Linked DNA regions of Cricetulus griseus. The protein of the gene in region 1 interacts with the protein of each later gene in a pairwise test. Links are inferred from orthologs where the notes say so. Each region holds a gene or a part of one and is shown in the gene's direction. Other genes may lie near its edges.

Region 1 (15,077 bases):
AGTTTGCAATCTGGTGCTAAGTCGTAAGGCCCTGTTAGTTACGGAGCCTAGCGGCTCTAGTACTGGGTACTGCTGTCTGTCTGGGAGGGTTGCCCTAAGTCTAGGTTCGGAATGAAGCCGGGAGGCGGCTCAGGTCCGCCCTTCAGGTCCTGTCCTGAGCACTGCAGATGTTTGATTCTCTCTGCCACAGGCGAAGACGGATGAGGAGGTACACCATGGAGAGGCTGTGAGGCTGGGAGCTGGTGTCTGGGGAACAGGAGTCAGCAAAAGTCTGGATGGACTGGACTTTGGGGAGGGGATTCCGGGAAGTGTCTAGACAAACCTTTCAGCCTTGTTGGGTCTGCGGTGAAAAAATGGAGCTGACCTTTTCTTGAACTGAATTGGTTTTGGGTGCTATGAATCCAAGGCGTGTTTGGAACCCTAGGATTGGACCTCCTTGTCGGAGCCAGGTAGCCTCTCCAGTGCTCATGGAAGGATATGTGACTTGCTAAAGAGATTTTCTCAGGTTCCTCTCCCGAATTCTCACCAATTACCCACTTTGAAATAGGGAAACCGAGTTTCAGGTAAGTTCAGAATCTTGCCCGAGACCACTCAACCAGCAAGTGAGAAGTGCAGAACTGAAGAGGGCTCTGAAGTTTGACTGGAAAGCTAAATTCCTGATCTTTTCTCTTCTCCGATCTTCTTTCTCCACCCCCCAGCTTCTGATGAGGGATCCCCAAGACTCTCCCTCCCAAGGTCCAGGCTCTTTGATTTTCAATTTCCCTGCCCGCTCTGAGCAGCAATTGGCTTTGTACACACCACCACGGACGGCCTTGCTTGCCTCTTCCTGCAGGCATCGCCTTGCTCGCCAACAAAAAACACCTAGGGTGGAGATGAATCTCCTCGTGCTCCACCCCAGCCCTGGCACAATCCTGTTTGGTGTTTCAGGGCCGGGCCGGGCCCACTCTGGGAGTGCGCGATGGTTCCTTTTGTGTTAGGGAACGGCAGGGCTGACGGATCTGTAACCATTGCTCACTTGTAAAGGAGCACAGCGCCCCCCAAGGGAAGCACAAAGAGCTGCAAACACTGGCTCCACGTGCGTCTTGGATCAAAAAACTAGGTTTCACCACTCTTCACCACTCTTCAACAGCCTGTAAAAAAACAAGAAAGAAAGAAAGAAAGAAAGAAAGAAAGAAAGAAAACAAAAACAAAAAACCAAGGAGGGTTCAGTGTAGGCATTCATGAGTTTAAAACACAATTTGACTATTAATTGTCTCCAAAAACAAAATAAAGGGAAAACAACCCAAAAACTCCACCTACAAACAAACTCCAAACTTGTTGAGCAAGGTTTTAAGACGGATCCAAGAAAGTTTCCAATCAAGTAGAAAATCGGCACTGAGATGAAAGGCCAGCAGATTAAGGGACGATTAAAATACTGAAGGGACTCCAAGGAGAGACACCAGCACTCCTCCCCTTGACACTCAAGTGGGGTGCACCATCTAGACCGGCCTCCGCTAGGGTAGGAAGGAGGAGTTTTGGGGTGGAGACATCTTCTCCACTCTCCAGTTCGCAGCTGACCTTTTACATATATTTGCTGACATGTCTGAGAAATGGTTTCAGACGGGTTCTTTGTTCCTCCCCAAGTTAGCCACAGGAGAATGACCGAGTCTGCTGTCCCAAGTGCTCCAGGCCTGAGCTCACTCAGTACAACCCGAGATCTCTTGGGTTCCTGGGGAAATGGGTTGCTGCAGTTCTCTGTGGGAGCAGAGCGCCCACCCCCGGGCCAATCTCCTCGCCTCGTTCCTGGCCAGGTGTGATTGCTGACCGAGATGAGCAAGATGGGAGCCCCAAATCCTGTGGCTTCTTTTAAACTCCCCTCTAATTAAAGCAGTAGTGAAGTCACTTGAGCGATTTTATCTGTCATGGGAAAGCAAACCCCAACCCTAAACCTCAGCTGCCCAGCCCAGAGCCATCAACGCCCCACTCTCGCTTTTAAAAGTTTTTTTTTTTTTTAATGAAAAAGATAAAGAGCCTGAAAGTCTTATGGGGCATGGGGATGGGACCACGAACCGTGGGCTGGTGGGCTATATACTTAAGTGTTAAATATTCCACTGTGAAAGAGCATCTGTGTGTGTTTGTGGTTCTCCCCCGGACCCCTCTGCCCCTGGGAGGAGACTAAATCTCGGAGACAGAAATGAGGCAGAATTGCGAATATCTTCTTCACCTATTGAGCAACATTTGATCTGGAATCCACCGCCGAGGCCGCCCTGGGGGTGGCAGTCAGATCCGCTAAGGCAGGCTGTGCCTTGAAGCTCCTGGGCGGGTGAGGAGGAGGGGGCGGGGACCCTGTCCCATTGCTAACCTCCAGGTGTGCCGGGACTCTGGATCTGGGCCTTCCCCAGGTCTGGCCCATCCCCCAACCCATCCCCCCTCCTCTAGCCCAAAAGTTCCGGGGGGCAAGGGAAAGGTGGAATGATCTTGCAGATGCAGCCACTACACGACTGCTCAAACACACGCTCACACCCGCGTGGGACTCAGCAACCTTCAGCAGCCAGTCCCTGGCTTCGGTTCACTGGCCAGGGACTGACCGGGAAAGCGGGTTAGGGCTGTTAGGAAAAGCTGGAGCTGATGGTGAGATTGCCGTGGCTATAAATCCATCACTTCCCAGGTCAGCACAGAGAGGTGCTGGGACTGGGGCTGGCGGAGTGAATTCCTAGGCCAGCGCGCATGCGTCGGCAGGTAGCAACCCAGCTCTTTATGACCAGGTGAGATGTTGGCGAGCAGGTAAAAAAAGGAGGATTTGCCTAAGCGATTCCAGGGAGCGGGCCCGACAGAGCCCTCCAGCCCATGCCCGGAGGGGACCCGTCGCCAGGAGCGCCGAGACGCAATGTCCATACTTGCCAAAATGGGGGACTGGCAGGTACGGGGGTTTGCCTTGGCTGGGGCTGAGGTGGGCGGGGGTGGAGCGGAGGAGGGGGCCGGGAGTGGGGAGGCGGAGAAGAGCCGTGGCCCAGGGCAGGGGAGTCCTAGATGAGGCACGCCTGGCAGCGCCCAAGAGTGTTCCCAGGAGAGAGAAGACTGGATAAACTAGAGCAGGCTACACAGCCTCGGTGCTGGGGGCCAAGCGTGCCGCCCTCCGGGGTAGAGTCCGGAAAAAGTCCAGCGCACGTTCCACAGGTGGCCAGGTGGCCCCTAGGGTCACTTGTGGTTTGATCTCCAGCCATTTCCCCACTCCTACCCCAACAGAAACTTAGGTGGATGACTAATTAAGAAGTGGGGAGGGACGCGGGGCCGGAGGTGTGGGTTCCCCAAGGCTGTGCCTGCCTAGCCCTTAGACCCCAGAGCTGCGCGTCCCGGTGAGGTTCTGGTGCACCTGTCCGGTTGGCTATCCCTTCATTTGGGGTACCTTTGGGGTGGGTGAAAAGGGGTCCGGATGACTGGATATAGCCTGGAGCAAGTTTTCTTGAGAGACACTTTTTTTAAAAAAAAAAAGTTTGTCCAAAGTTTAGCTATTCGCTCAATCGGCTTCCTAGAGTGGGTTTTCTGTTCTTGGACTACAGAATTGCGGGGTGATGAGTAAGATAACAATTTTCGGTACTAGAGTTTGCCAAAGGTGACCCTGCTAGGCCGCAGAAACCCCAGAGCGGACAGGCACTGGGTCTGGCCTTTCCTGACCCAGAGACCCCGGCCCCCGCCCAGGGAACATGCTTCCACACACTCTCCTTACAGGGAAACAAGGGCGGCTCAAGCCAGGTTGAGGGAACACGCTGCCTCTCCCCGGTCGGGCATTTCATAATAGGAACCGCGGGGCCCTGTTTTTGCCCCAGCCAACGGAGGCCTGGTTAGACCGAGATTCTGTAAGCCACAAGCCTAAGGGGCAATTTGAACTAAAGGCTTCGACCTTCCCAAAGAAAAACCAGAGCTGAAAGCTTTGCTCCTCCCAGGGCAAGGCCCTGGAGTTTGGCTTCCTTTTTCTCTTTTTGCCTGAGAGTTCAGCCTTAAACGTTCTGAGAGGTGTTGTCTTCATTACATGTCCAAGAGTTGGAAAAAGGAACACGTTTTGTATTTGTTTTCCTCTTATATTTATTACTTCTATTTGTTGAATGGATATTTTTATACCCCCTCTCTAGTTAAAACTACTAAATAATATTCCTTCCTCAAACTTAGACTGGCTTTGTTTAAGGATGGAAGGCCCACCCCAATCACAAATGCTAGAGCCCTCTCCCTTCTCTCCCCACACCATGTTGGCTTAGCTCTCTTTCTGGGTGCTGAAGCTTGGGGCAGTTACCACTAAATTCTGAAGAGCTCTGCAGGGCATGAGAAGATGCTCACCACCCAGGGTCGCCTGGGGCTGGAGCCAGACCTCCAGTGAGGCAGAATATGGTTTGAAAGCCACCCATAGCTCCCATAGCTAAGGAATGGTGGATCCGAGGGCCTGCTGCTGAGAGCCTTGTAGTTTGGCAAGTGGCAGGAGCCAGAACCTGGGGGGTGAGCGCCAGTGGCTTTGAGTCTCACAGGACCAAGTCCACCAGGCTTGGTCACTTGAGCATCCCTGACCCAATGGGTGTTGAAGATCAGACAGAAGACCCATCCTGGCCCTTGTGTTTTCTTTGTTTTTCTTGATGTCACTCTCAGTGTAGTTCATTCTCTCAGGTCAGGCCTACAGCCCCTGCCCTAACTCCAGGCTCAGCGCTGCTGGCCCAGGGAGCCAGGGCCCCTGCCCAGATGTAGCACTGACTGCAGTGAGATGAATCGTGGTAATGAAACTCATGCAAGCGTTAGCTTCGTTAGCTTCGCCTGGCTCAGGGGCTACCCGACTGCTCTCCCCAGCCTTTTCATCAGAGCCCACACTGCACTGCGGGCGGCGGCGGCACAGAGCTGCCAGGCCCCAATCTGCACGTCAATGGTGCCCCTGGCGGGAATATAACAACAGTTTAGTAGCCCTTAACTGGGTTTTGAGTCAGAGATCTGCGGGGCACTGAGCAGCGAGGAAAGAGGAGGGGGTGAGGGTCCGGTAGGAGAGGATATAAATCCTTAAGCACCTTTTCCCAGGTCACAACTGAAGGAAAAGAAAGCGAAACTTAAGAGTTCCTTCAAGCACCCTGGCAAGTCCGGGTTCTCAGGATGCAAAAACCCATGCTCTAAGGCCTAAGGAGCGGGCCTACAGGTCATAGGGCACCCGGTTGCGGCTGCCTCTGGGAAAGTGGAGGTACTGGCCCCTCCCAGAGGTTGAGCTCCAGGTTTCAAGCCATTTTGCTGCTCAGCAGATCTTGGGGAAAACCTGGCGGGGTCTTGCTTGGATTGTTGAGCGTTTTCTGGACAGAGTGGGGTGCCAAGCTTCTAGAGCCATCAGCCAAATGACTCCTTAAATGTGAGAAGCCATCTCTAGAGAGTCCTCAGGGCCTTGGGTCTTTGAATTCCCTTGTCACCTCTGGCCTTGTCTCTGGGTTTGGCGGAAGGAGGCTGTATCTTAGCTAGGTAGGGTCTTGAGAAGGAAGAATTGCCCTTCCTCGGCTTTGAGTGGAGAGTGGTTCTCTCTCTCTCTCTCTCTCTCTCTCTCTCTCTCTCTCTCTCTCTCTCTCTCTCTCTCTCTCTCTTTCTCCCACCTGTTACTGAACGCTTGGATTTGATGAAGTCTTCAGTCCCATGATGGATTCACTCTGGAAATGGTGGTGGTGGGGCACAGATTTTTTTTTTTTTTTTTTTTTTTTTTTTTTTGGCGAGGGGAAAAACAAAGAAAAGAGAAACACAAAAACAAATGAACCAGAGGTCTCTGAGGGCTATCTGCTGCTGCTGAGAAGTTCCCCACAATTAACAGGAGAAAGAGGAAAATATTTTTAGAGTGTTAGTGCGGGAAAGTCAGCCAGAGAAGTCCCTGTATATCAAACTATCACATTAAAGTCTTTGGATTTTTTTTCTTACTTTAATTGCTGAAAGGGAAGAAGGGTCCCCTGGTGGAGTGAGTAAGCCCCTGAGGGGAGCTGGGGAGCCTGGAGTGGTCAGCTTGGGTAAGGGGGTGTCTCCTTCGGGTTCTTCACCAGCTGGCCATTGTGCCGCCAACGCGCCAGCGTTACTAACATCAAACCATGAAGGATCGCGTCCTTCTTTAATTAAAAAGGAGAATCTTGGGAAAACCGGAGCCGATTAGCACAGGAAGAGTCAGTTCCCAATGATTTATTTTGATGCACGCATGACACGGCATGGAGTGAGTCTCAAGTACTCATAGGTCTGCTTTTCGGCTAACTCCAGAAGCAGCTATATATATATATATCCATCCAAAATTCCGTGTTCTTGTCCACGTTGCACCTGGAAAACCTTACAGTCCAAACACCCCGACGAATTGTCAGTCCGCTCCAGCTTCACACAAACTGGAGGAAAATCATTTAACCCCCGGAGCTGTCGAGTAACCTCTTCAGGGTACAACTTTTATTTTACACGTAGCAATTAAGAGATCGCAAACCCCAACCGAGCCACCAGAGCCGGTTGGCAGAATCTCCAACCTGGGGAGAAAGCGCAAAGCTAATAAAACTCCCAGGGCGCTGCAGCCCGAGGGGGTAACAGCCGTGAGCGGAGGCGATCTCCAGTTGGACAAAAATCCTGGAGTGACTTTGCTGGTCCTGGTTTGATGGTTACGATTCATTGCGAAAGGGATAATGATTTCTAATAAAATCGGATGGGGACGAAAGGCAGATCGGATAGAGGCGGATGTAGTAGCAGGGGTGAGGTGTACTAAAAGTTGGTCCCCTGGCACCGCCGCCAGTACCCTGTGTAGTACCAAGCTTTATCCAAGGCATCTTTGGCTGGCAGGATCCGTAGACAGGCGCAGGGGAAAGGGATGAAATTGGGCCGGGGAAGGGACCGCTGGAGCTAGGGACGGTGCTGGAGCTCTGGGCTAGCTGTTGGGCTAGCTTGCAAGCGTGCAGGCGTGTGCTCTGGGAGCAAGTTCGCGGCTTGAAGAGGCCTTTATACCTGGGTCGGAGCGGCCGGCGGCAGATTGTGGTACTGGCTAGCAATTGGACTATTGTTGATATGCTAATGAGGCGATTAGGCTGTTGGTGAAGAGCAGGAAAAGGGAAAAGTTTCTACCATTAGAGGGAGATCTCCGAGCGCACACGGGAGCTCTCTAACCCTTCTCTCCTCCTCCCTCCTCGCCCTTCTCCTCCTGGCCCTCCTCCTCCTCTCCCTCCTCCTCCTTCCTACCCTTCTCCTCCTCCTCGCCCTCCTCTCCTCCTCCTCCTCTTGTGCTCACCGCCCGCAGCCCGCACTTTGCGCTAACCTAGAGAGTAGCTCCGCTGGGGTGCGAGGCGCAGAGGGGCAAATCCGATCACGCCGATCCATGAAAATGCTTTGGAAACTGACGGATAATATCAAGTACGAAGACTGTGAGGTAAGCGCGGCGCCGGCTCAGTCATCCTTGCGACCACAGGCTTGGAGATCGACCCTCCCTCTCCTCCTCCTCTCCACGCAGCTAGCTGCGAAATGCTGGTGAACAAACTTTCACCAGCGCTGCGCCCGCCCCTCGAATTCGCCCGAAGAGCGCCGGGGAGAAGCTGGAGAGGGTGTACATGGGTCTTGCTTGTTTCACTTTTGTCCTTTGAAGCCCATGTCCCACTCCTCCCCCCCTTTTTTTCCTTCTTACTTGTGGCTTTGCCTGAGAGTGGAACGAAGAGATAAGCTTTTTTTTTTTTTCCTTTAAAACAATTGTTGGCAACTGGGCACGTGCCAGTGCACTCTGGTATCTCTTGAGCAAGAATCTGGGGGTATCTACGATAGCAGGAAGAAAAAATAAAAGAAAATGTTTCCCCTTTCACCTCTTCTCTGAGATTAATATTCCTTTTTCTTTCATTCATTCCTTTCTCTCTAAAGAGGTTCCCTTCTTGCATTTGGAGAAGGGCCCACACAGTTCGCCCAGACCTGGGCAGCACCTCCCTGAAAGCGGGTTCGGCTCGGGAGCCCTCACGTCAGCCTATGGGCTCACTCCTCAGGTCCTATATTCCTTGAAGTTCTAAGCAGTTTCTCCCGCCGAGCTACAGGGTGGACACACCCATGGTGGTGGCTGGGTGCAGATGCACTACCGTACTCTCTGAAGGGGGGGGGCGGGGAATCGCCCTGTGCCGGCCGGAGCTTAGCCACGGGACCCTGAGAATACTGGTGTGACTGCCGATCACCTCTGGTTTTCGAGTGCCCGCTGGGACCACAGAGCGCTCCCCTTGGGAATACATTTTAAAACCCAGGACCCCAGAGAATGACTTTTGGGACAGCCAGGGAGGCATAGGAAAAGAACCAACTGCTTGCAGGAGACGGCCTCAACCTTGCTTTTACAAACCCTGCTGAAAGGAGCTGATGAGTGCATGGGGCGATGGAGGGGTAGTGATTATCCAAATAAATACATGGCAGCCTTGACATTTACTGTTCTTCTTTTGCTTTTTTTTTTTTTTCTTTCCCTTTTGGCATTTGGAGCTGGGGATTCTGGCTGAGGCATCTGTGTGCGGGTGCAGAGACAAGAATTCTGTCTTCACTTGAAATCAGGAACTGGGTTTGTGTGAACGAAATGTCACCCACTCCCTCCCCTTTTCTCTTTGAATACTATTTTACATCTTTCTTCATTCTGGCTCCCCCTTTACCCCTCCCCACCCCCAACCTGGTAGATGGGACACCAGGTGACATCCCTCAGTACCTGCGCTTCTCTGGGGCTCCTGTGGCGTGCCTCGAGGGGCGCGGGAAGCCCTCGTAGGACCAGACACTTTGTTTTCAAGGCTAAGGGTGCCTTTTGCGGATAGGCCTAGGCACCACTAAGCCTCTCTTAGAGCAGTTCATTTCTGAGGGGTCTGAGTTCCCTCTCAAGCCTGGTGATTTTTCACTTTCTCGGAACCTAAAACTCGGTTCTGGGTGCCGGCGCCCTGAGTGGGAGGGTTGATAACCTTCGCGTGGCTCCACACACCGAAGGGGTCTCGAGGGGGAGCGAGATGAACTTGAACCCCCAGAGAGACTCTGGAGGTGCGCGAGAGCGGGGGGGGCGGGGGGGGGAGAATGATGAGAACGGAGTGGGAGAGGAAAAAAAAAAAGTCTGGGCAATTTCAACAACTTTGGTGGCGGCGGGCTAGCTAGCGCTAGGGCAGGACTTCGAGCTTCCGAGCGGGCTTGGAGTTGTCTGATTTGGCCGAGGCTCTGCAGGGACACGCAAGAGGCGAGGTGCCGCTTGTTCCGACAACCGGGCGGGCAGACTGGCAGTGGCGACGCGCGGGGAGAGCTAGCCCTGTCATCTAGAGGGTGTCGGCGGGAGTGGCCCAGCCAGTCCGACGGGTTTGTGCCGGGAGCCGGGAGCCCTTGCCAGAGGCGCCTAGGCTGGGCCGCTTCGCGTCTGTGCGCGCCCGGGGCCGCGTCCGGGCTCCAGCTCCCGGAACCGGGTCCAGGGACCAGCCGAGATTAGAACTGCCGCAGCCGAGGAGCGCACGGCCCGGAGGTCCTAGGGAAGGCAGCTCGTGAGCAGGCGGAGGACAAGGGTTGGCGAAGCGGGCGGGCTGGTCCCAGGCGGGACGCCTGGTCATGGAGGAACAGCGCGGCAGCGGGCAGCCGAGTCCCGAGTGCCAGGCCCCGCTGCGCAGCAGAGAATCCCGCGGCCGGAGAGCGGCGGGAAGCACCTCCCAGGCGCAGAACCCGGTGGGCAGCAGCGCGCGGGTCCCGGGAGCTCCAGCCCGCGGCGAGCGACCCCCGCTCCATTCCGAGGTCTGCCCCAGCCTTTTAGGTCCGATTGTCCTCCCTCGCTTCCTCTCCCCTCCCCCTCCCCCGCGGGCTCCCCCTGCGCAGCTCCGGCTCGGCCCCCTCCTCCTCCTCCTCCCTCCCTCCCTCCTGCCCTCCCTTCCTCCTCCCCGGCGCTCCCTCCTTCCTCCCCCCTCTCTCCACTCCTCTCTCCTCTGGTCGCCCACACTTTCTTTCTCGCACACGCACGCAGACACATCCTCCCTCGTCGCGCTCTCGCCCCTCGGCCTCCCTCTCGCCTTCTTTCTCTTTCACTTTTGCAGGCCCTGCAACCTTTTAAAATGTTGCCCCTTCGCTGTGATTCGCCAGACGCCGCGCCGCGGCCCCCCGCACGCTCGCCCGCTCCCTCCGTCGCCCGCTTTTTGTCTCTCGCGCTCCCTCTCCCCACCTCCGATTTGCTACACTGAGACTCCCGTCAATGACTGCATTGAGAGCCGGCTCCGGCGCGAGTTGCCTCTCCGCTTCACGCTCGATTTCCAGGCATTCTTCCCTTATTAAGTATTCGTGTAATATTAATAGTCATGAATATCTGCTATTAGGAGGCTCCAGGAACGCTGCCCAGCGCGGTTATTAGAAGCTGAAGTGAAGCCGCCGCTAAGAAAAGAGGGGAGACACGGATTAAGGGACATTCACACACACACTCACACACACACTTCACACACATACTTTTTTCCTCTTTTTTCTTTTTGTATTTTTTTTTGGTTGGCTTTTTTTTCTTGTTGTTGTTGTTGTTTTCGTTTTTCTTAAAAGAACTTTGAATCCTAACCGATTGCGGCAGGATAGAGATCGTGGGTTCGACCAGCTGAAGGCGCCGCGCGACTCGGTGGTACAAGTTCGGATGGATCCGAGCCGGGCTCCGACGCTCGCCGGAGCGTCCGCGCGGTGACTGGAGTCCTGGGTGGCGCGGGGCTCTCGGAGCCTTTTGTGTGGGGCTCTCTCGGGCCGCCGGGCAGCCGGGTGCTCGAGGCGTGGTGGTTTTTGTTTTGGGGGTTTGTTTTTGCTTTTTTCCACCCTGACTGGTTACCCCAGACTCTTCGCAGATGTTAGTTCACAGTTTTTCAGCTATGGTGAGTCCCACCCCACCCCCACCCATCCCTGTTTCCTTAGGAATTCTGATCCCGAAACCCGCAGCCGAGAAACTGCCTGAGATCCAGATCCAGGGCTTCTCGGCCCGGGTTCCTTGTGGACATCTCCTCCCACTTGCATTCCTATCTCCCTTTCCTCTTTTCTCTGGCTCTTTTCCATCCTCAAATCCAACGCGTCGCCACTACCCTGTCCCTGCTGGACCTCTCCGCGCACGCAGACCTACCCCGCAGCTCTTTCCCTGGGCCAGTTTCTCGCCCGGTTCGTCTTTATTTCCTTGCGTCTTCTTCACTTGTTCCAGAGCCGCTCTCCACATCCGATGCTTAATCCGTCTGTGGGGGGTGAAAGGCGCACCCCGGTGTGTCCCCTAGCCCGGGGCCTTGAGGCTGAACCTTGGAGGGTTCCGATTCTCTGGAACCCACTCTTGGCTTGCTTTGCAAGCGGATTGCAATAGAGAAATGTAAAGTGAGGGGTTTCTTTTGCCCTTTGGGGCTGGAGGTGGAAGGGGCGGGGGCCTCCGCCCCGGGGTGCCCCTCTTTCTTTTAAAAGAACCGGGTAAGGCAGAATCTTTCTATTTTAAACCCCGTTCCTTACTCCCCTTTCATATCATAAAACGACCCTGCCGTGTAAAAGCCTCCTAACAGAGGAAGCGGAAAAGACAGACACCCCCACCTCAACCATGCAGTTCAAATCTTTAAGCTGGTAATTTAAATGTGTGCTTTCTTACGGCCCCTGTGCGAAACATGTTTCTATTTAAATAGTCATGGAATGGAAATAGTCTTTGAAGGTTTATGATTTTTCCCTTCCAGATTAATGGAAGAGTAAACAATAACGCGGTGGCAGACAGGTTCAAATCCGGGAACAGCAAAGGCTGCTTCTGTTTAATATTTAGTGGATGTTTGAATTTTGCTTAAGGGAGGTTTGGTACTGCGGGTGTTGGGGCTGTACTACAGGACGCCCTTTTACATCTCCTGCCCCCCTTTGAGAGGAATATCTGGGAGAGTCTGTTGTGCCCCTAGATTTACATATTCTGATTTCTTTGCTTTTTTTTTTTTTTTTTTTTTTTTTTTTTTTTTTTTTTTTGAAAAGGCCTGCTTCACTTCTGGGGTATTTTCTAATGCTAACAATGTAGAGCTGATACCCCTACCCCGGCGTCCAGCAGAGGGGAACGGGTGATTTCCCCACATTGGCTTGCCGAATGGATTTAATGGGGGTAGCTAAAACTCTGCGCCTCATTTCTCACTATTTCCCTTTCGTCTTGCTTTCTTCCAGGACCGTCACGACGGCACCAGCAACGGGACGGCAAGGTTGCCCCAGCTGGGCACTGTAGGTCAATCCCCCTACACCAGCGCCCCACCGCTGTCCCATACCCCCAATGCCGACTTCCAGCCTCCCTACTTTCCCCCGCCCTACCAGCCTATCTACCCTCAGTCGCAAGATCCTTACTCCCACGTCAACGACCCCTACAGCCTGAACCCCCTGCACGCCCAGCCGCAGCCGCAGCACCCGGGCTGGCCCGGCCAGAGGCAGAGCCAGGAGTCTGGGCTCTTGCACACGCACAGGGGGTTACCCCACCAGCTGTCGGGCCTGGACCCTCGCAGGGACTACCGGCGGCACGAGGATCTCCTGCACGGCCCACACGGGCTCGGCTCGGGGCTCGGGGACCTCCCGATCCACTCCTTACCTCACGCCATCGAGGACGTCCCGGTAAGAGGCGGTGCGGGCCGCGGGGAGGGAACGCAGCCCTAGGCTCACCTGCCCTCCCGGAAGCTTCCTGGAGCCCAGGCCCGCAGGGCCTTGATTTTCCTCAATAATAGTTGGGAGTGGAAGTGACACTCACTTCAATAACTGAATTTAAAAATGAAAAACTAATTGAGAACAATGCTTCATGGAGCTCGCTCAACAATGCCTGGGTCACCACTTCCAGCCAACAGAAATAAACCAGGCGATGGTCACCATTCTCTGCAGCTTCTCTCCGTGACAATAAATTGTGTAGATTGGGGGGAGGGGTGGGGGGGACACGGGACTTAATTCCGCTGCTGAATGTGTCGTGGGGATTTCTCGCTGTTCTAGGAAAGTGGTTAAATTTAGCCCAGAGAGCTCCTTAAACTATCTCACAAAGTAAAAGAAAGTGCGAGAGACTTAGGGAAAAGGTCCTTGAACCGGGTTTTATAAGCATTAGTGAAACCCAGAAGTTATGCCTCCCCTATCCTGATCAAAGGAAAACAAGTAGCAAATCCAAGCACAGGGACATTAAAATGCAGCTTTCTTCTCTTCCTGGGGGTGCTAAGTGGTGACCTCATAAATCATTAGCTAGGTTCCCAACGCCTATCAGAAGCTGCTACACTGAATATTCAATTAAATGTTTGGATACTATTGGGTGCTGCGTTGAGTTCTAATTCAGTTATCAATAAATGCAGTTTCAAATGATTTCTAAATAAGGACGACCTCAGCACATGTACTATTTACAATGTAACTCAGGCCATTGATAATTTGAAAATACTTTTTAAAATTAAATTGCAACCAGCACCTCAATTTCAGCTCTATAAATTTATGGTTTTCTCACAATCTTCCTGAAATGGAATTAGAGCAAGCCAATATATATATTTTTTTATCGCTGTAAAGGCTTCTGCTAAAGGTACTTTTCTTTGGAAAGGAAATGTATCTGGATGTGATTTTTGCTTAAATGCTATTTCAAATTACTGCATCAAATATAGCAGTGGTATGTCTGTTGACAGTTTAATGATTGCTGAATTAGATTGTAAGGAAAACGACCACATGAACTTACCTGATTGCCTGGCAGATTTAAAACATTCTTGAAGTTCTACAGGAAAATAGAAAATTTATTACCTCTCTCATTTAGCCCAGTTAATCACCGAAATTTGTTGGTTATGCTTAACAGCCTTGCATGAAACACAGGAAGGCAGGCACTTGGTCCAATGCAAGGCTCAGTAAGCATTGTGTGTGTGTGTGTGTGTGTGTGTGTGTGTGTGTGTGTGTGTGCATGCACGCGCGCACGCGCGCATGAACGCGCGCATGTGTTCATATTTGTATGGTTTTAGAAAACTGTGGCTAGTGAATTTGAGGCAATATTTTATAAAAGCAATTTTGAACAGAACTAGAAATTATGGTGATTTTAGTTTTCTTTCTCAGAGAGTCCCTGAATTCTTTTCTTTGCCTGTTCTTTGGAAACACTAATAGCAAAATAATATCTTAAGCTTTTGGAACTGCTGTGTATTGGAAATAGGTCTTCTGCAAAAAATGGCATGAGGCTGCTGGGAATTCTTGATACCTGTGTGGTCACTCTGTGATGCAATTGATCGGTAGGAGAAACTAACCAAATGATCATATAAAAGCAAGAAACCCAGTTGCTCTTCCTCTCCCCCTCCCCCACCTTTCAAGAAAAAAAAAATCCTTCAAAGGAATTTGGGTCAGGAATAGGGTTGTTTTCAATTTCTTCATTGCTGCCACATTTAACTTTTAATAAGAACGACTGCTAAATATTTAAGAAAATCAAGTCAATGGTGAAAATTGTTTAATCATTAATATCTCAGTGGGGTTTTAAACTTAACAGTCTTCCCTGTATGGACAAGGTCTAGCTAGAAATAACAGAAATAAAAGTATTATGCCACACTACATTTACTTTATGGGTTTAGGGTGCATGCATAAAGGGATCATATTTCCCCATATAGTTAAAACACAAGAACTGCAGCAGTAGTCATTTCTGAACATTTCTCAATTTAATTATACTTAAATCCAGAAGCACTTTAGGCAAGTTACAAATGAGAGCATTGAGTATAATAAAACCTGTAATAAAGCAACTTAGTACCATCCACCCGGAATCATTGCGATCAGGCACAATTAACAGGAGCATAAATCCAAGACAGAATGGAAAATGTTCGAATCAGTATTATTGTTGGACAAAGACTAGAGAAGGAAGTAATAGTTTTTTAAATGGCAATGCCTGTGCTTGGTAACGATTGCGAAATCTTCCCTCTCAGCAGCCCTGGTGCTAATTTGTAAACACAGCCAGACATTATATTGCCTGTCAGTTTCTGCATTAGAAAACATGATTTCATTTTACTTTCTAATCACGTTTTGATTCTAACACACTCATGGATACACAACCATCTGCAAAGAGAGAGGGGGGGCACCTCACACTGCTGCTGGACAACGGGAAAACAGTAAAGAAGCCTCAAAGGGTTTTTGTCCCTGATGTTTCCATATTCCTGCCAGATTTACTGTAGGCAGCAGAT
Region 2 (15,077 bases), about 250 Mb from region 1:
CCACTGCCTCTTTCCGTAGCCACAGACATCAGGCCGGGCCGCCTCTCTCCAGCTAGCGGCGGCAACGCGGCCGCCCATTGGCTCGCTCCCCCAAACGCGTCTGGTATTGGCTGGAACTCAGGGCTCGGTGGCCAATTGCAGAGAAGATCCGCGCGAGAAGGGGTGGGTCCTTCACGTCTGTCTCCCGGCTCTACCCAACCAGAGCAGTAACCATTGGAGGGTTCCTCGGGGCCCCTCCTCTGCCTCCGCCGCTGGGGGTCCAGGCTCGCCTGCATCTTGTTGGAAGGGAAGAGGATTTTGAGGTCAATTCTGAACTTTGGGAGCTTATTAAGTTTGGCCTGTCAGGAAATGATTGCCAACTTTAAATTTTGCACTTTCTATTTAAAAGAAAACCCAAATATTTAACCGTAGGTTATATTTCATTTTCTTAAATTTCCACAAAAAGCAGGGTAGGGGCAGAGGGAACTTAGAACATAGAACTAGGGCAAAGAAATAATTAAAAAAAACAAAAGAATCGGGTGGTGGTGGAGACGGTGCAAGCCTTTAATCCCAGAACCCAGGCGGCAGAGATAGTGGGTCTTTTGTAAATTCGATGTTAGTTTGGTCTACAGAGGGAGAGAGCACCAGAATAGCCAGGGCTACACAGAGAAAGTGCAAAACCCAAACCAAAACAAAATAGAAAAAAAAATTAATAATCTAAGAACAAAGATGGGGTCTTTAAGCCAGACACTTGTAACCAAAGTTGTTTTTATTTTCGTGTTTGGGTGAAGACTGGCAAATACTATTTCACAAGATAAGTTCTTGCCTTCAGCTTGGCATTAATTGTTTTATGTTTTCTGATGAGGACACAAGCAGGTGGGAATTTCATTTCTTCCCTACTACACTTAAATAATAGTAAACACAATAGCAACTAATGTAAAAAACTTGCTAGATGGCAGACACATGGTAAGTATTAAATGTTTACCATACTGATCCAAATAAAATTTCTCAACCATATGGTACTCTTCTAGAATTACAGGGCATTAGGATGTCAGGGTGTAGGAAACTTCTGTTATTTGCCCAGGGCAATGCAGCTATTGAGTGCTGAAGTGACTCAAATGTAGCCTGTGTTCATAAAGTTAAGGCTGCTCTTGAGATAAGAGTATACACATCTAAAAGCTCTTACTCAACAGCTCTTACATTTAGAGATTAAGCCAAGACAGACTAATATGATCTATTCCTATCAGAGGATTCCACATTCTCCAATTGACTACCTTAGAATAGAATAGAAAGATTGCATAGGTAGAGTATGTTCAACTTCTCATGTCAATATTCCCTAAGCAATACAATGTAACAACTGTATTGGAAAGTTGTTGGAAAAGTTGGAAACTTCTGGGAGGCCTTTCAAGTAATCTAGAAGTGATTTGATGGCTATGGGCGGATGTGGTTAGATTATTTGCATACTCTACCTCTTTTTATATAAAGTTTTTGAGTTGCCATGGAATTTGGCATTCATAGAGGGCCCTGGAAGTAATTCTGGATGGATACTGGGGAATGGTTTGATTCAGATCCACCTATTTGGTAACGCCACTAGCATGGTTTGGTTTTAGCAGGAGCTGTTGATGATTTTGCTTGAGTTTACAAACTTTATGTCAGAATATTGAAATTTTGGTTTTGATTATTCAAACATTATCAAGTTGTATAAATGTGCTCCATGTTGTAAAGATAAATAGGAATAGGGAAACAGAAGTACTTTAAAGAAAGTCCCCTTCCACTCCGTTTTCCTTAATTGGAAGGGAAAGGTCCTCCTGGGGTAACTTCAGTAACCTGGTTTAATGTTTCCCAAAGTCAGCTTCACCGGGACAGGAGACTCCCTGTAGTCCTCTCTTCCTGCAAACCTGGAAGAAAAGCAGTTGTGAGAATAGAGCCCTCTCCCTCTTCTGACTCCAGGAATTCAGTGGACAGTAATGGAACACCCAGCAATGTAACCTCTCATGTCATGTGGGCTTCAAAATAGAGGAATACAATTTCTGAAATAGAGGAATATAGTTTCTGCTAATAATAGAGACTGGAGTGACTTTTTTGTTTTTTACCTCAAGCCAGGTATAGTGGTGCACATCTTTAATCCCAGCACTTTGGAGGCAGAGGCAGGTGGATCTCTGTAAGTTTGAGGCCAGTTCGGTCTACCTGTGGACTTTCATAACAGTCAGAGTTATATAGTGAGACCCTGTGTCAAAAAAACAAAATAAATACACGCCTGTATGTGTATGCGCACAGCACACACACACACACACACACACACACACACACACACACACACACACACACACACACACACACACACACAGAGAGAGAGACAGAGACAGAGACAGAGACAGAGAGAAGAAAAACTCATTTCCCTCAAAACGAACTGAAATAGAGTACAGAAATTATTTCCATTCTGTAAACATGTAAATCTTTGATCATCATGATCAAAGAGTCCTGTGTTCCTGGTTCACAAAAGCATATCTGTGGCTGGGGAGATGGAGATGGCTGGGCAGGTAAGGTGCTTATAGAGCAAACATAAGAACCTGACTTCCAGCCCAGAAGCCATGTACAGGCTAGGTGTATTGTAACCCTGTTCTGGGGAGGCAGAGGTGGACCTTTGGATTTCAGGCCAGCCAGCTCAGCCAAATCAACAAGTTCCAACTGTGAGACCCTGTGAGATCTTGACTCAAAAGACCTCTGGCCTCCACATACGTGTTTACACGTGTGCAAATGCACCTCCACACACACACAAACAGTGGATATGATTATATTTCAGATGCGTGGAAACTTTTTTGGAATAGGTTTCTATGACCTTATTATAATTATTTTGCGCTTGAGTTGGTCAATATAATAGTGATGTGAACATGAAATAGCATAGAACATTTGCAAAAACATATTTAGCAGCTACCTTCTGAATCTTTACGAAGAAGTGGAGAACAAGCTTAAAGGTCATAATTAAAATCCTTCCGGGAAAACTGTCATGATCTTTGCTGAGATTAAAAATCACATTCCTGAAATGTACCCTGCAGCATTCAACACATTCAGCCAGCAAACCAGCAAAATGAGTGTTGTGAGTTAGATTTTCACTCTGATACACCTGACAAAGCTCAATTGTGATGCCTGTCTTCTGTATAGATGCAAAATGGGAAGGTACCATGTGTGCTACTAAAATGCATGCTTATTCATTAGTATTTCTCTTTAACTTTGAGGTACATTGAGCTAAAACTCTGAGGTCTGCATGGTTTCATTCCATACTCAAAACCATCATGTACCTACCATCATCTTAAACAAGGAAAGTGGAGATCAAAAAGGCTGGGGATTTTGCCCAAGTGCCAGAAAGCAGGTCACACAGCCCAGGTGGTTCCAGCTCCCGTTTCGAGAATTCTGACATTTCACTGCTTCCCATAGATGAAGAATGCTTCCCACCGCTGTCCTAGCCATACTAAATGGACTTGTATCTCAAAACTTGACCTTCCATATACAGGCATACTTTTTTTTTTCTTTTGAGACAGGATCACTATGTAACTCTGATTCACCTCAGATTCGCCATGGTGCCTCAGACTGTACCACCACAGCTTTCTTAATAAATGACATTTCCAGCTCTCACATTTAGTTTTATTTAGAAGGAGAGAATCATGAGGGAAAATTGGAAATACAGCCTTTTCTGGCATAATAGAATCTCTTAATTTGCAAATGGAATTCTCATTCTATTTTTAGCTCAGCCATTGCAACAAAAGCTATGAATGACCAAATTAAAACCACTCAGGCTAACTCAGGCCAACTGCTGAATTCTGTGCAGCTCAAAGAGCTAAGAATCTTTTCAAAAAAGTAACCGTTTTAAGTAGCTGGAAATATCAAAATATAAATCATAAGTCGTAATGTAGAAATCACACAAAAGTGAGCCACCGTGGACGGTTTGTGAATTGTGGACTTGGAGTGACGTGTCAATGTATGTACATGTATCGTAACAAAGACACCGCTCTGATGGAATGTTAACAGTACAGGAGGCTGTGTGCGGAGCTTGCGGGAATATGAGCTGCCTCTCTGTTATGCTTTATAGTGCTGTGAACCTAAAGCAGCTCTAAAAGTTATAGGCTATTAAAACATATATCAAGCTCAGAGACCATAAGTAAGGGTTTATTGGTGCACAGCTGTGCCCATTCATGGTAAGAACTGAGCAGATGAGATGTGAAAAGCCTTCAGTATTCACTCCATGGGGAGAAGTTTTCTGACTGTCCATTCCACGGCATCTGCTACTGACTAAGCTACTGGATTAGAATGATGTCCTCAGAGTTAAAATTCTTCTCCTCTCTTCCAGTTACCATTTAACAAGTGCTTGTTAGCACTCACTCATCTTTTGAACGGGATAATAAGTCCTATAGGACTACTTACAGGGCCAGTTTAAGGGTTAAATGAACTATAAAGCACCAAACAGGTCAGTAATAATCCATTTTGATTTTGAAAGTCTGCCTTTCTCTTATGCCTTCCCTTTTAGAATCTGGGAGTGGCCGGGCGTTGGTGGCGCACGCCTTTAATCCCAGCACTCGGGAGGCAGAGGCAGGCGGATCTCTGTGAGTTCGAGACCAGCCTGGTCTACAAGAGCTAGTTCCAGGACAGCCTCCAAAGCCACAGAGAAACCCTGGCTCGAAAAACAAAAAAACAAAACAACAACAACAACAAAAAAAGAATCTGGGAGTGTTTTCCTCAATCACCTGCTTTCTTTATGTGCAAGGTGAATGAAAAGAGAAAAGAAAAAGAAGGACATGACAGCTCCTTAGGGAGTTGAGGTTTTTATTATAGATGTCAGGAAGAATACAGTGGAGGAGAAACATCTGGGAGAGCTCAGAGTGGATGTAACTGGAAGACTGAGTTGGGCCATGTGGGGAAAGGAGAGTCCTGGGCTGGTAGAGGGCAGGGGATGCCAGCCAGGACCCTGCAACAGGAAGGGACTGAGGCATTCAGGAACCTGGTGGTCAGCATCCTCTTTAGTCCTAATAGGTCCTCAGTCCTTGGTCCTGAGTTTGAGACCTAAGGTACCTTTGTTTGCTCAGAAGCCGGCTCCTTACCCCGCCTTACTTAGCACAGCTTGGTTTGCCCCTTGTTTCTGTTTTACCCTCAAGCTTGTCCTTGATCCAAGTTAGTTCCAGGGAAGTAGTTGCCTGTGACTGCATCTGCCAAAGTGAAAGCATCAGCAAGGCAAGGCGGGGTCTGCCTTAACCGTTACTAGGTTTCTGTGGCACCTACGTACTTCCAAGCATTGATCCAGGCCTCCCCCCAACCCCTGCTCCCCACCATTCCTAATTCCTTTATGGGAGCTATGGATGAGGCATTCCCTGACTCCCTTATAGGAGCTATGGACGAGGAATTCCCTGACTCCCTTATAGGAGCTATGGACGAGGAATTCCCTGACTCCCTTATAGGAGCTATGGACGAGGCATTCCCTGACTCCCTTATAGGAGCTATGGACGAGGCATTCACTGACTCCCTTATAGGAGCTATGGACGAGGCATTCCCTGACTCCCTTATAGGAGCTATGGACGAGGCATTCCCTGATTCCCTTATGGGAGCTATGGACGAGGCATTCCCTGATTCCTTTATGGGAGCTATGGACGAGGCATTCCCTGATTCCTTTATGGGAGCTATGGACGAGGCATTCCCTGACTCCTTTATAGGAGCTATGGACGAGGCATTCCCTGACTCCCTTATAGGAGCTATGGACGAGGAATTCCCTGACTCCTTTATGGGAGCTATGGACGAGGAATTCCCTGATTCCTTTATGGGAGCTATGGAGTTTGGCATTTAGGCTTAACTCTCACAGAATCACTGGATTCTTGACTAAAACTGTGGTTGAATTTGTTCTGAAGATTTCAAAGATTCTTATTCTGTAGAAAAAATACTATTATTAGCCAAGACATTCTGGAGAGGTGAGAATTCCAAAGGCCCAGAACTGTCCATCTTCTAAGCCCTATGACAAAGGTCTGCTATTTTAATGAGAAATCAGACCCAGCAATGAAGCTGCCATTATGCGCTGTATGTTTTTCCAGACATAAACTCTCTGCTGTTGCAGCCCAGTCTTTGGATTTTTAAAATTCTTTGATTCTATTAACTGTTCACTTTGGCCAAATTATTTCACTTTTCTGAGGCACTTTTGTAAAAGAGTAATAGTGTTGAAGACATGACACGGACGTTTGGGAAATGAGACACGCAATGCTTTTCTGTCCTTCCTGTCACTCCATAAAATGCATTTGCCAGCCATTTCCACGTCATCTCAGCCTGGGAAGTTAAAGGAATCCTTATTTCCCCTGCTGGAATTCAGGCTCTCAGCTTAAAGTGTCAGAGTCAAGGCCCGCTGCCTCCTAGTCTCTTGTAGACGGGAGCTGGAGCTGCGTTGTTGAGCTCTGTCCTTGGAAACTATAACACTTCCGGGGAAAGTCAGGCTGGAGGTCTCAGAAGCGACTCTTGGCCTTTAGGGTCTCATTCTTATTCACTGCCAGCTTTTCAGAACATGGGTAGAAATCTCACAAATAGATGGTCAGGGACTGAAGCTGCCTGCCATTCGCTTTCTGAGTGATGCAGGGTCTCACCACACCCTAAGTCTTTCGTCCCATTTGCCAAACCGTGAGAGAGTTTGGCCTTTTTAGCCGAACACGTTATACGGAAGGTCTGGCCAATTATCAGCTTAAAACAAAGATGTGTGATGGAAAGGAAAAGTTAACATTAGTACATTTTAAAAAGTTAAGATCGGTAAATTTTTATTCGATGCCTTTGAAATCTACGTGGGGGTTTAAATGTCCAGTCTTCTTCGTGTGGGTGAGCACCATCCCCCATGCTTTCCCCCTTGTGTCTTAAAACAGGAAGCACTTTGGGGGGAGTGGTTTGGGATTTATTGTTTCCCTCGCCCCTTTATGGACTTCCACGTCTGGGGCGGTGACTGGGAGGGGGCTAGATTATCCTAGCTCCCACCCCAGGGGTCCCAGTTCACTTCCTCTCTGCCCCACCAGAGTGCTGTTGACTGTTGAGAAATTCAATTTGGGTCTGGAGGGAGCCCAGCTGTACGTGGAGCCAGCAGCAGCAGAGAGAGCCACAAGGCGGCGACTGTGAGCTTTTGGGTACTGCGTAGACTCTATGGAGACTGATGTCTGGGGATGCGACCAGAAGCTTGGGGAGAGGTAAACCTTCGAGACTTTTGTAACCTTAGACTGGGGGAGAGGCCTGATGGGGCTGCCCTCTCTGGACAGGAGTAACTAAGCCTGTAACCGACTTGGACGGCTCATCCCCTGCACAAACTATGTGCAAGTGTCCCCTCTGGAACTTGAGAGGCTCAGTTCACAGAGTCCTCTGCAATGCCCATGAGGTGAGCAAGGCCCCTCCCCACAGGGCTAACCAGATCTCCATCTTTTCACCCCTGCCCCGCCCTGCAGGCAGCAGTCCCCCAGGGCCAGTCCCTGAGGGTGTCATCCGAATCTACAGCATGAGGTTCTGCCCCTACTCGCAAAGGGCACGCCTGGTCCTCAAGGCCAAAGGCATCAGGTGAGAAACCAAGGCCAAGTGCTCCCTGAGCACGTTGCTCACCCCTCATCTGCAGGGACTTATTTAAAGTCTTGGGCTCCTAGAAGGGCTCCTCTTCCCTTTCTTCTGAGGCGAGTGACTCCAAGGACTGATTTTGTGTAGGCTTTACTGAAATGCTGAGTTCTTTTCCAAATCAGATTTTCATGAACTTTTAGACGAGGCAGCCAAAACTGAATGATGCTGTTGGCGAAACGGTCCCCACCCACCCACTGTTTGTTTAGGAGGGGCACAGTTAGTAAGGGCTCACTGAGGCCTCCTAACTGCACCAACACGGCCTTACTTTTGCCCTGAGCAGCTTGGATTAACTGCTCTATTTCTTTATGGTGCTTAACCACGTCTATCATTTCCTCATCTGTTCCATCTTTCTACCTCCTCTCCCCCTCTCTCCCACCCCATGGCAACCATACACAAAAGGAGTTTAAGAGAGGAAGGAGGGCTGCCATGTTGGGTGCTAGAAGAGAGCCTGGCACTCAGTAAGTATTCAAAAGTGTCTGTTGGGGATGTAGCTGAGTTCGTTGGAGTGCTTGCTCAGCGTGTATGAGGCACCGGTTTTACACGCAGTGACAGCAAGAAACCAAGTGTGGAGGAACGTCCCTATGATCTCAGAACATAGGAGGTCGAGGCAGGAGGATCAGAAGTTCAAGAACGCTCTTGCTTACATACCAAGTTCCAGGTCAGCCTTGGCCACATAAGACCCCGTCTTATACACAAAACTCAAGTGTCACTGCAGCCTCTGGCTCAGGGCTTGGGAAGCACATCATAGGATTTGGCATTAGACTTTTAGTTCATGTCATGAATAGAGAGACCAATATGGAGATGTTTTAAATAAAAGCTGTTAACACTGCATTGATTCGTATGTATATAACATACATTTGCAGTTGTTCCTGCTGGCTCAAATCTATCTATATGGTTACCTGTCCTTTTTGTTTGGTTTTAGAAAAATAAGAGCAATACAATATGTTGCTCATTTGGGGACAAACTTATAGTTTAGGAACTGAGGCAAATGTTTCTGGGGTTTTGTTGCTTGTTTGGAGACAGGGTGTGATGTAGCTCAGGCAGACCACAAACTCACTGTGTGTCTGAGGATGACCTTGAACTTTTGGTCCTCTGACTGGCCCTCCACAGTGTTGGATTTACAGCAGTGTGTCACCATGCCTGGCTGTGTGATGCTGGGGACGGAATCCAGGACTTCCTGTAGCTGGGCAAGTACTTTACCACCTAAGCCACAGGCCTGGGCCCATAACTGATTTTTCAGAGTGGAGTTCCTCAACCTTAGCACCACTGGCTGAATTTGCTGGGGAGAGGAAAGAGGACTGTCTTGTGCATTCCAGGTTATTTTGTTATCCCCACCTTTATGTATTAGGATGGTACCCCACTCCCAGGGTGAAGATCAAAGGGTCCCTAGATATTGATATACACTCTTTGCATGGGGGAGAGGTAAAATAATCTTGTTGGGAACTCCCACTTTGAAGAATGTAACTATTTGTTTCCTTTAATCTTTATAAACTGCTTGTGCCTCTGGCAACTTCCTGGTTTTGAACCTCCAATAATAATGAATAGGGGAGGACTGAAAAGTGATTGCATGCTAATTAATATACTATATCTCCCCCAAACACTACACATGCTCGCTGTTTTAACATCACAGTGATGCCAAGAGATGGGTACAGGTATTACCTCCTTACAGTTGTGGACACTGAGTACGGAGAGAAGGAACTGACTAAGATCCCAGCTTGACCATACAAGTTTGATGGCGGGTTTGCGATCTTAACTGTTAACATTCACCAATGTCTGTTATAACCTGTCAATACACATTTGCATCTTGGTGGTTGTTAATGCTTGCTTTTGAGACAGGGTCTCACTGTGTAGCTCAGATTGTTCTCTAACTAACATCCCCCTGTCTGGGTCCTGTTGAGTCTGTGCCTTCAGGCTTTCATCTTTCAGCCATGTGGCCAACGCATATGGAATCAGTCAGCCTGGCTCTCATCTTGCCTCAGCTGCTTCTGAGGAGATGATGTCTGGCCTGAGATTCAATCACAGGAAAAGAAAAGCCATGGAAGACACCTAACACCTCTGCAGAATGAACACACGTGTTACATATTTGACAAAAAATTCCTACATCCAACAGCTCTAAGCATGAAGGTTACAGCTGTTTGTTTTCCAGGCTGAGTGTCTTCCTGTATGTGTCTCATTTCTAGTTTGTCTGTCTTTTCCTTTCCCTTTTTAAGGCATGAAGTTGTCAACATTAACCTGAAGAACAAGCCTGAGTGGTACTTTACAAAACACCCTTTTGGCCAGATTCCTGTCCTGGAAAACAGCCAGGGTCAACTGGTCTATGAATCTGTCATCGCTTGTGAGTACCTGGATGACCTCTACCCGGGAAGGAAGCTGTTTCCATTTGACCCTTATGAACGAGCTCGCCAGAAGATGTTACTGGAACTATTCTGTAAGGTAATTTTACTTTGTGTTTCCCCAGCTTCCATCCATTCTAAAGTCAATCATGGCATAGTTTGAACCGTGAGCCTCTGAAGAATAACTCAGATGGGGTAAGAGTCAGGTGTGACCAGCGACTTTCAGAGTGGGAGGCAGAAATTCATGTGGCCAGAAATGGGAGTATTGAAACAGCTGAAACTAATAAGCCTCTTACAGGAGCATTTCTCAAGCATGTGTGTGGGCATGTGCACACTTGAACACACACACAAACATACAGGAACACACAAAATAAATACATGAATAAATGTTTAAAAAATAAGATTCAGAGTGAGTGAGGAAGACATGCAATGTTGACATCTGGCCTACACACACACACACACACACACACGAGTTATGTACTCAACTTAATGATATTAATAGTGTTAATTATGCTATTAATCAATGACATATATTGAACACTCAGGATGTTCCAAATCATCTCTATTGATTCCCTCCCTTGACTGCCCCGGGAGGGGGTATTGTTGCTGGAACCATTTTTCAGACAGGAACACTGAGACTTGAAGAGGCTAAATGACTGCCTTCCTCAGAGTGTACAGCATGGGACTAGATGATCAAGCAGTGGGCACGGAGAACCCTGCTAAAGCCCTCTTGGCTTGATCAGATGCTGTGAGAAGTGGTTCCTGGAAGCACAGAGATGACCCAGGGCCTCTTGCCAAGGATGTGGACATCTGCATGTGGCCAAGTCCTCCTGTGCTGGAGCTGGGAAGCTTCTGTGCATTTCAGTCAGCGTGGGGACAGTTTTCACAAACACCTCCACTAAGAACCTGTGTCCTCTGACTAGATCCCACACTTAACCAAGGAAAGTCTGGTAGCGATGAGATGCGGGAGAGAGTGTACGGATCTGAAGACTGCCCTGCGTCAGGAGTTCCGTAATCTGGAAGAGGTACAAAGGAGCATCCTTCCCATCAGAGGCGAGGGACCACGCCATGTGTAGTGTCTCTAACTGAGACACCCTGACGTCACCGGCTTGCAGACTTTATGCCCAGCTTTGATGTGATCCCTTTCTAGTTGTCTGACTGTGACCTGCACATGCTTGCATCCCTGACCTTTCCTGAAAGGACCTGAATTTGTCCTTTCCTGGCATTGTGTTGTTCCCTGAGATTCTCTGCATGGTTTCTGCCGATGAGGCTGAGGTATCGGCTGGTGGCCGTGTAGGAATTGTCTAATGATGGTTTAGTCTCTCACATTACAAATCGGGGGAAGCAGGGGAGTCCAAGGCTGTTTCCATGCCTCCTCACGAGGTTGTCAGGGACTGAAGCTCATCTTTCTGTCCTGTCACATTTAGTGCAAGGTTTTCATCCTTAAAAACAAGATGGCTGCTGGGTCTTCTGGCATCACCTTCTTCTTAGGCTCTAGCTAAGCGAAGGAGAGAGAAAAGCAGCAAATGCCGGACCCTCCTAAAGGACTCACCCAGAAATGCCGGACCTTCTTAAAGGACTCACCCAGATTTAGTTGTCAGGTTGTGACAGTCAGCAGAGGAGGCTGGGAGATCTATCTTTTAGTTGAGAGGAGGCTGGGGAATTTATCTTTTAGTTGAGATACCCCGAATAAAATCAGTTTGGTGTATTTTAGAAATGGAAGGTGCGTGTGGATGGACGAGCAGTCTTTGCTGGTAGAGTTGCTGTACCAGGACAATCACGGAGCCCTGCCACCCACCCCACCCTGCGTGTGCTCTGTGGGTCTTTGACTTTCTTTACCTTTGGTCTAGAAACCAATGAATTCTTTTTCTGTGTGAGGTTGCTTCCCTGCTGACAGCCAGAAAACTACTATCTTTATCTCTTTAGAAGAACTCTAGCTACTAACATTCTTCCATTTGACTTTATCAACTAAAAGCAGATTAAATTCATACACACTGTTTCCTGTTTTGGAGTTGTACAATTGGAAGATGAATAATAAGAAATACTAACTTTTGTCCTGAGGTCTCAGACTCCAACGACCCCGAGGAGGTGATGGATGTCATGATTTTAAGTGGGGCTTTGCTGGGTTCCAGGGTTTTGAGCAATAGGAAACCTGGGGGATGGTTCCAGAACTGTTTTCACCCACACCAGCACTGCGTTTAGTCACAGTGTTGAAGAGGGCATCTAACAAGAGCCTTTGTCCAGGAAGAGCACAACTTTAAAAGAAGTCATTGAAACCTCTCTGAATAGAGAATTTTTAATGTCTCTGTGTTTGGTGGTGGTTGCTATTGTTTCTTGTTTTTGAGACAGGGTCTCACTATGTTGCCCTTGAACTCATGGAGATCTGCTTGTCTTTGCCTTCCAAGTGCTGGGATTGAAAGTGTGTGTGAGCTAAGACACATGGGGGTGGGCCTAGGCCTTATCCCAAAGGATACGATAGACTCTGATGACACCCTATGGAAGGCCTCACCCTCCAGGGGGAGCAGAAAGGATATGTGATAGATAGGGTTTTAGTTGGGGGGGGCTGGTAGGGGAGGACGGGAGGGAGAGGGAACTGGGATTGTCATGTAAAACAATCTTGTTTCTAATTCAAATTTAAAAAAATTCTGGGAAAAAAAAAGAAATTCCTGTCATCACCCCCAGCTTAATCTCTTTCTCTTTCACATTCTCTCTCTCTCTCTCTCTCTCTCTCTCTCTCTCTCTCTCACACACACACACACACACACACACACACACACACACACACACACGGTCATCCGAACTAATCCCATCCTCTCTGGTTCCTTTCTCATGATACCTGAACACTGGGTCAGATTAAGGAGCTGAAAACAAACCCCTGAATTCGGGGGTCACTGACAGTACATTTTGGTTTTTCTTGCTGCTCCTCTGCATGAACCCAGGGAGTCGGGATGCAGGCATGACTCTTCTCTTCAGTTGGGGCTCTCTCTCAGGACAATTATGCCAGAAGTTTGTGCCACACACTATGGTGTAGTGCTTTGTGTACACTTACTCCTGCTCACAGCATCCTGCTTAGGCCAAGATCACTCCAGCAAATCAGGATGGCTGTGAACTAACTAAGAATGCAAACATAAAGATATCCAGAGGTTTCGTGACAGAAATGGAGGTCAACCGTCAAACTCATTTTGAAGCAAGTGTTGCAATTAAAACAACACAAAACAAAACAAAAACAAAACAAAACGGGCATGCCAGAGAAACACACCATGCAACAGAACTTGGGTCGAGGGTGTTTTTGTTTTTAACTGGAGGAAAGTGAATGGGAAAGGGAGGAAGGGAGAAGGAGACTGGCCTCTGGGGACAGGAGCAACAGAAGAGAAGAGAGAGAGGGGCAGAAAGGCGGGGGGGGGAAATGACAGACAGATAGACAGACAGACAGGGAGAAAGAGTGATGGGAGGTGGGCAGGGCCCTTTTAAAAGGGAACATAGTGAATGTGCACAGGTGGTGTTCTTAGTGGCTGCAGCTGAGGGCAGATCCTGTCAGAACCCCAAGGACAGGCCAGTACAGAAGCCTGAATACTAACAGCAAGTATGTGGAGTACTAGTCTGGAGACACACGGAAGAGAGAGCTGTTGTGTGTAGGAGAGCAAAGAATCAGGGCACAAGGCAGACCACAGACAGAAGCCTCCCTCCCACCCAAGGAATTTCCCCTTGATCCCGAAGTCAATGTGGAGTAACTAGCTAGCAGTGTTAACAGAAAAGACAGGAAGGTATAGCCAGCAGGGTGGTGATGAGTATGTCACAATACTCCCTGAAAAAGTAAGTAAAAACAAAAAAGAACCAAAACCCCGATTTTATTTGTAACATTTGCCCATTTCAGTGGTGGAACACCTCCCAGCAGGCCGCTTTTCAGGTGCTGCCTCTGAACCCCCTTGGGAAGAGGTGTGGCCAGTCGGCCAGCTCCAGTGCCTCACTGAGCAACACTTTTCTCTTTGCCTTTAGCCAGGGCCTCAGAGCCTTGGCTCTGGTAGTGCCACCCACGCATGTAAGGACTGCTGAATGTTCAGCTTTGTTTTGGTGTCTTTGGGTGGGAGTTTTGTTCCATTGTGTTAGGAAGAGCTCTAGACATCGGAACCTCAAACCATCGGGGTGGATGTGAGCTCTAAGAGCAGTTCCTCCAAATAGTAATATGCGGACTCCAGGGCCTAGGGCACACAGTCTGGGGGATCTAGTGAAATTAAAATAATTACCAAATAATCTGACAGAAATGCCCCTTAATTCACACGAACATTTTTCTCCTGTTTCTTTCTCTTTTTTTCCTTTCTTTCTTTCTTTCTTTTTTTTGATAGGGTCTTGTAGTATAGCCCCAGTTGTCATGGAACTTACCATATTCTTCATGTTGGTTTTACAAGCAGGATTTTGTGTGTGCTAAAAAGCTATTAACACACATGATCTTTCTGAGGGACAAATAAGCTGATATTCTCTCTCTCTCTCTCTCTCTCTCTCTCTCTCTCTCTCTCTCTGTGTGTGTGTGTGTGTGTGTGTGTGTGTGTGTGTGTGTGTGTCTTTTTTAATGTGTAGGGCTTGGATGGGGCTATGGATCACCATACACTTCAAGTGGGTTTTTTAAATTACATTTTTTCATTTTACATACCCACCCCAGTTCCCCCTCCCTCCCTTTCTGCTGCCCACCAACCCCCATCCCACCTCCCATCCACTCCTCCGGGCAAGGTCTCCCTTGGGGAGTCAACACAGTCTGGCATACCAAGTTGAGGAGTGACCAAGCCCCGGCCCCTCTGTATCAAGGCTGAGTAAGGCGTCTCACCATAGGGAATGGGCTCCAAAAAGCCCACGCACCCAGGGTATGTCCTGGTCTCACTGCCAGCTGGCACCCCCACAATAGATCAAGCCATATAACTGTCACCCACTTTCAGAGGGTCTACTTTTGGTCCCATGCAGGGTCCCCAGCTGTCAGTCTGTGAGCTCCCAATAGCTTGGGTCAGCTCCCTCTGTGGTTTTCCCACTCATGACCTTGACCTCCCCTTGCTCATATGGCCCCTCCTCCCTCTCTTCAGCTGAACTCCAGGAGCTCAGCCCGGTGCTTGGCTGTGGGTCACTGCATCTGCTTCCATCAGTTACTGGATGCAGTAGGTTCTATGA

The links.
Region 2: the proteins of Tfap2a (region 1) and glutathione S-transferase omega-2 interact in binary tests that used the Homo sapiens proteins (3 or more experiments, as listed by UniProt). The two-hybrid records come from large-scale screens. The link is inferred for Cricetulus griseus from reciprocal best matches to the Homo sapiens genes TFAP2A and GSTO2.

The regions. Positions count from the first base shown.
Region 1 is NC_048596.1:260,408,191-260,423,267, reverse strand, and holds the start of Tfap2a (transcription factor AP-2-alpha), read left to right. Parts: upstream 1-7,233; 5' UTR 7,234-7,315; coding exon 7,316-7,366; exon of another isoform or gene 7,367-9,730; intron 9,731-9,880; exon of another isoform or gene 9,881-10,778; coding exon of another isoform or gene 10,779-10,805; intron 10,806-12,093; coding exon 12,094-12,528; intron 12,529-15,077.
Region 2 is NC_048596.1:13,628,120-13,643,196, reverse strand, and holds the start of glutathione S-transferase omega-2, read left to right. Parts: upstream 1-7,067; 5' UTR 7,068-7,141; coding exon 7,142-7,175; intron 7,176-7,427; coding exon 7,428-7,536; intron 7,537-9,800; coding exon 9,801-10,023; intron 10,024-10,846; coding exon 10,847-10,948; intron 10,949-15,077. UniProt on the Homo sapiens protein: Exhibits glutathione-dependent thiol transferase activity. Has high dehydroascorbate reductase activity and may contribute to the recycling of ascorbic acid. Participates in the biotransformation of inorganic arsenic and reduces monomethylarsonic acid (MMA).